Bombyx mori: one gene and its partner. The protein of the gene in region 2 purifies or fractionates together with the protein of the main gene of each other region. This does not show direct contact. Links are inferred from orthologs where the notes say so. Each region holds a gene or a part of one and is shown on either strand. Other genes may lie near its edges.

Evidence for each region. Proteins that work in one complex are often made in the same cells at the same time.
Region 1: the proteins of UBX domain-containing protein 6 (region 2) and tether containing UBX domain for GLUT4 purify together in Homo sapiens (affinity purification with mass spectrometry; 4 studies listed by BioGRID and IntAct, counting the BioPlex papers as one, with this or other methods). This does not show direct contact. The link is inferred for Bombyx mori from reciprocal best matches to the Homo sapiens genes UBXN6 and ASPSCR1.

What each region holds. Positions count from the first base shown.
Region 1 is NC_085117.1:12,221,822-12,224,596, reverse strand, and holds the end of tether containing UBX domain for GLUT4, read right to left. Parts: intron 1,574-2,775; coding exon 1,408-1,573; intron 1,064-1,407; coding exon 880-1,063; intron 751-879; coding exon 651-750; 3' UTR 501-650; downstream 1-500. Other genes in the region: zinc finger CCCH domain-containing protein 3, read left to right, coding at 1-408. UniProt on the Homo sapiens protein: Tethering protein that sequesters GLUT4-containing vesicles in the cytoplasm in the absence of insulin. Modulates the amount of GLUT4 that is available at the cell surface. Enhances VCP methylation catalyzed by VCPKMT.
Region 2 is NC_085134.1:4,053,223-4,056,985, forward strand, and holds the start of UBX domain-containing protein 6, read right to left. Parts: upstream 2,600-3,763; coding exon 2,354-2,599; exon of another isoform or gene 2,353-2,353; intron 1,882-2,352; coding exon 1,751-1,881; intron 1,339-1,750; coding exon 1,197-1,338; intron 25-1,196; coding exon 1-24. Other genes in the region: uncharacterized protein LOC134198725, read right to left, coding at 2,601-2,680, 3,245-3,563. UniProt on the Homo sapiens protein: May negatively regulate the ATPase activity of VCP, an ATP-driven segregase that associates with different cofactors to control a wide variety of cellular processes.

The DNA.
Region 1 (2,775 bases), on a different chromosome or scaffold from region 2:
GAGAAGATGCCTACATGCTATTTTTATCTTAAGGGAATGTGCACTAAAGAAAATTGTCCCTATTTACATGTGAAATTAAATAAAAACTCTAAACTGTGCTCAGATTTTCTTAAGGGATATTGCGAAAGAGGAACAAAATGTGAATATAGACATGTAAATATTACCAATCAAACAAAAAAACGATTGATGAGGACAAAACAAATAACATTGTTAAAAGTAAAAAATCAACATACGGAAAAACCAAATAAGAATGAAAGTGTTGAAGAAAGTCAAAATGAAAGAAATATGGATTGCAGATACTATCGGGACATTAAACCAAACTTCGAAGATACCAAAGCAGATTGTGGCGTAATAAAACCGATTCGATGTAAGCTAGGAAATCTGCCGTCATTCATTCAGTTTGAGTGAAACTCACTGTTAATTTTATTACTATGTAACTAATAATAATTATTATTAATTATAATTAATATTATGGTGAAATAATTTAGTGAACTTCAATGTAAATACCTAATAATCGTTTAATCTTGAATAAAAATATTTTGCAACAGTTGAATTTTATTTTCAAATTATTTATTTTAAAGCCATCTAATCAGTACTAAAGTATTTCCATTATTTAAAAGCAGCGAGATGCTTCTACCTGATACAGTTATTTAATTCTTGAACCATTTCGGAACTTTACTGCTTTTAGATGTAGTTGGGGAGTTCGTGTGCGAGTTGTGTATTTCTTCCAACTTTCTCCTACTCGGAGCCCTGTAATTAGTCAAGTATTAAACAATGTGCTTCACTTCTAATTTGACACTTTGAAGTAAGATGGGATTTGTCGAGTATTCCTTACATTTTTTTACATTGCATTACATTCCTTAGTAAAATAAATCTTACCGATATTTTGAAGCTAAAATACTAGCAGCATCACTAGTAGTAGTGTTGGAATATATTTCTTTTTTCAAGTATAAGGAATCTGGATTCTCTTCCAACCATTTGAAATGCATATGCACACATGGCACAAACCTGGCTTCAAGCAAAGTCATCTTTGGTTCTAATGTTTCTTTTAGAGGTGTTGTAACTGAAAAGATAATATTCACAATTTTTTTTTCAGAATGAAACCAATTATTTAACAGAGAGGGTAGGTACAATTTTTCTACATAAACATGTGTCACGTGTTCAAATGATCTCTATAATTAATGAATTTGCATAATTACTAATGGTAGGGCGTATTATGAGCCGTACCATGTTCCTATTTTTGCCGAGACGTACTTAGCTGTTCTAGTTTGAAACCTAAGTATTGCGACTTAAACGTCATGACTCACGATGGATCGCGTGACAGTGCCGTCTATAGATCACGGTAACAACCCACCGTTTTTAGTAAAAAAGCTGTAATTGAAAAAATAATAAATTCGTTTGACTCACAGATATGAAATGGTTTTTCAGGATGCGCTAAATGTTCCTTCAGAAAATTTGTGACATCCTCGATTGTGTCAGTAGGAGCGAAAATACCTTGTAGAATCATATGATCGGGAAATTGAATTCTAACAACGGCATTCTTATATTTGTTTAATTTGACTGTTTCCGTAGTCTGAAAATTATAAACTCATAATCTATACTATTATTTAAATATTAATTAATATTATAAAGCTGAAGAGTTTGTTTGTTTGAACGCGCTAATCTCAGGAGCTACTGGTCCGACTTGAAAAAATCATTCAGTGTTAGATAGCTCATTTATTGAGGAAGGCTATATAACATAACGAACAATACAAGCGGAGCACCAATAAAGAATGTTTCAAAATCGTTTTTTTTTTCCTGTTGAGAGCTTCCGCTGCATGCACTGCGGAAACGGTTAAAGTTTCGCTAAATTAATGTATGACAGAATTTTTCTCCTTTAAAAGATCTAAATAAATTTCGCGACAGCATATGTGTATAAGTTAAGGTTGGCTCACTATAACGTTTTTTGTGTTAAACAAATTTGTTCTAAAATAAAGCATTTTTTGTGAAAGTGTTTTTATAAAGAATATATTAATCCTTATCCAAATAAATACGTTATTCATTACAACATTGAAACACCTAAATCACTTCAAGTCTATCACTTTGAAAATTACAGATTTTTCTGGATTTCTCCAGGACCCCATCATCAGATCTTGATGATTACAGGACCATTCGGAAAGTCTACTCTTTCGAACAAAAAAAAAGAAAAAAGAATTATCAGAATCGGTTCAAGCATTTTCGAGAAATCGCTGAAAATACCTACATAATTGAAAAAATGATGGTCGAACTGATAACTTCCTCTTTTGAATTCGGTTAAAAAGCGTGATTTCGGTACCTTAAATAGCTCCTTAACATTCTATTAATCAAAAATATATATAAAAATATATACGACGCGGACGAAGTCGCGGGCAAAAGCTAGTAATAACATAATTGTCCAATAATAGATATTGTATATACAAGAAGATTCAAATTAAAATTTACCATAAAGGTGGTTTTATGTGTACAATAGCGAAGGAAATACCACGTCGTTTAATCAAGTCGTAATGGGCATATTTATTTAAGTGTTGGAATTCGACGTACCTACATACGAGGGTTGTTTTCAATAAATAGTGATAATGCGATACATTTTCTTTGGAAAGAACAATCCAGGCGCTTAGTAACAGAAATCGACACAATTAACTTCAGTGCGCCGCGTAGGGCATCGGTGACTCACGTGGCAGTAAAATGGTTAAAAATACAAGTCATTTGATTACGTCGTGTCGGAACGTGTTTTTAAAAATGGATAAAATTGAAGTT
Region 2 (3,763 bases):
AAGAGTTTCAACGCAGGCGTCTATCTGAAAATATATTTTTAATTAGTGAATATTAGTTTAAAATGCCCATAAGTATTAATTCAATACATTGTTAAGGATGAGAATATCTCACATATAGTTTGCAAAGTTCATGATTATATCTGAGACAGATATTTACAAAATCTGGATTGATAATGTTTAATAATCAAAGTTTTTCGTGTTACAGCATATGTAACACAATGGAAAAAAAATTACAGCATAATGTGAAACAATAAAAAATCTGATGATGAAACAGGTCAATGCTCCCACAGTCTCATGTGATTCAGGTAATTGTTACTTCCAAAAATAAATAATTAGGTCCCAAGAGAATATTCTTTCTATCATTGTAATAGTTTAAGCTTTGGCAATCATGAAAGATCACTAAAAACATGAGATGAGTTTAAATTTAGAATTCTACAACTTCTTTTAAAAAAGAAGGTGTAGAATAGTCTCAATTCATACAATCAACACATAATGTTGTACGTGCATTACTCAAAATCCTTGTAGCTATTTAGAACATTTCTAAATAAATTTTACTGTATACTTGGAATTTTAAACAGTTAAACAAGCTAACTATTGTTGTGAATGAGTTATTCTACACAAAGTACCCTATTTTACTAGAGTTAATCTCCTATTTTACTTGAGTTAATCTTAGGGTCTACTATGCGTCATGATAATCGCATTATCGTTGCCGCCGCTGACTACTACTCCCCCGAATCCTGATCACGCAGGAGCCAGTCACCGTCGACGCCCTAGACACGTCCTTACGGATCCATCAGATCCAATAACCTTTGCATTAGACGCCTTCAGCTCGAACACTAGGAGCAGGCTTAGGGACCCCGGTAACCGTACTCGTCGAACTCGACAAAGAGTTCGCCGTGCAACCTAAGCCATGAATCAGCTCGCTGAGTTTCTCGCCGGATCTTCTCAGCGGGTCGCGATTCCGATCCGGTAGTAGATTCATTCGCGAAGCAGCTGCTCTTGAGCTGTTAGGTCTCCTTCGGAGGTGCTCGGATAGCTGTTAGCAAATCCCACCCCTCCTGGCTGAGCCTTTGCTCGCCCACCTGGCCTGGTGAAACTGGAAAGGCCTCCGGGCCACCAGTGATCCTTCAATCATAAAAAAAAGGGTCTACTGTTGAGAATTTAGATAATATAGATAATAGATAATATACACTTACTTTTTCTCTATTATTATTACATGATTGTATTATAAGACACGCAGTCAGCCCTCTCTCCTCCTCAAGTTGCTCGTAAAGGAAAGTTTTGATATTCTTTTTCCACTCATCACGGGGTAATATATCGTTGCTTATAATAGGACACCTGTGGAAGTAATTTTAATAAAAAACGTTACTAAATTAAATTTGCTCGAGATTGTATGCAAACCTTGCTGCATAAGAACATAAAACTTTTAGGTAATAAATGATTTTTAGGTCTGCTTCAGTAAGTATCTACAGTCGGCATCGCTGCACCACTTTGAGAAGGCGGCACGAAGACTCTCAAGGCTATTACAGCAGTTCTATGTTATGTTCTATGTCCATTGATTTTGTCAACAATGTAAAAAGATACACAAATGATAATATTTTTGGTTTAGACTAATGTTACCAATATGTCATTATTTTTATAAAATGCTGATGCATATAACTCATGCCTATAGGCATTAACTGAATGTCTTCTTACAGTACATAATCGTGTGCATATCATATTATATGTGTAAAAAAAACTTCAGTATTACTTGAAATAAACACCACTTGCGGCAAAATTCTTCGGTAAATCCTCTTCAGTGAAGCTCTTTTGTGCCTCGACTGGTGGTGTAGCTTCTGAACTAGATGCCTTTTCATTTTCTAATTCTTTCCTTACTTGCGCCTATGAAATATAGTTTTTTTATAAATATACTAGTTGTACCTATCCGCTTCGCTAGGCATTTAAAATTGAGTGCAGGAAGTCTAACACTCATATAAATATCAGCCTATCCATTAAGACCATGTATTTTCTACATGTATACCAAGTTTCAATTCAATCGGATGCATGGTTCAGTAGTTATAATGGAACATCCGCAAAAATCACTGTAGATTTATATATTATAGTATATAGAAATACATTTACAACTAATCTTTTATCCTGAAGGAGGCATTTTTCTTTGCATTTTTACTATAAGTAAAATTAGAAAGATAAAACATACTAATGGAACTCTGCTGTACTTCATTTCCCTTCATTTAAACTTACAACTAACTTAAGTTTATTTTGACCTTAAGCTTATCAGTATAAAAACAGGAAACACGTTTCATCAAGAAAGCACATTCTTTAAAAATATCTTTGTAGGAAAATTAATATGTACCTGGATAGCAGCTAATGATGTATTAAAGCCTGGGTTTTCTCTCTTCTGATTGAGTCTAGCTAAAGCAGCCTCAGCTGCAACTTTGCTTTCCTCTGAAAGCCCTGATCTTTTAACAACTGGGACGTCTTTTTTCACAGAATCGTGACTGCTTGTCGTTGACTCAGTCAATTTATGACCTCGACCGGCCAATTTGAATTTTGCATCGACTTTCTTCTTCTGGAAGAACTTTTTTATCTTGTCTGCCATTTTAAATTCTTGGAGTGTGCTCTTTAGGTAGCTTCAGTTTTGATACACTCTCTTTGAGTTGTTCTATTGTGGCTGATGTAGCTGTATAAGTTTATTATATGTTAAAAACAAATTTTATTTAATATTGATACCTATATTTTAAAATTTGAGACATCTTATAGATTATATACTTATATATATAAATATAGAGTATGATTGTGAAAAAAATCTGTATATTGTACCAATTTAAATTTATCATCATTTTTCACTTAGCCAGCAAGACCTCATTCCACTGTAACTGTCGCTAAACATCTTTGAAACATCTGTCCTATCCCATGAATAGTGTTGAGGTAGCTCAAGTGACATCTATTGCGGATAGGTGGTGCTATGTCATAAATCTCAAATGACAACAATGCACAAAGCATCACAGTTATCTGATAAATTATGAATATACATTTTCTTTGAGTTATATTGTTGTACTGCTTTATAATGTAAATATTATTGTTATTATAATAAAAGAGGAGCATAATTTGAGCGACATGTAATAATTATAAAGTAGAATGTGCGAAATTTTTAAGTACTGTTCAATTATTATTTCTATAATTGGACCGTAAAGTTCAATGATCCAGCGATCCTTTATTAAAAAACAATAATAACATGACTCACCCGGTTTCATGAACCTCTCGGAAATTCTTTTACCGTACACTCGCCACGACAGACAAATCAGCAATAAAGTTATAAACAATATCAATAGAAACGTTTTTAATAATAGTATTTGAAACTCATTAAAATAAAAGGCTTCCGCTAGTTCACCGTAAAACGTGAATTGATCTAGATTTAAGAACGATTTGGGAAAATTATCGATAGGAAGTGATGAAAAACACGATTCAAAGAAGTCTTTTGCAAAAGACAAAGTATCCTCGATTTGAAGATACAGAGCTTCGTATAGAGTGTTATTAAAAACAGCGTTGTCGAAAACGGACATTACATTGGTTTTCTTTATAAATTACCTACATAAAGGAAAATTGTTAAATTTCCACGGTCATATTGAAAATTGCATACCCCATAGATTATACACTTAATATATGCATACCCTTTGGTTGGCCTTTTGTCAAATTCCACAATTGTCAATTTGTCATTATGACAGTTGATGTTTGTGATAGGTGTTACAAATGGAACATCAAT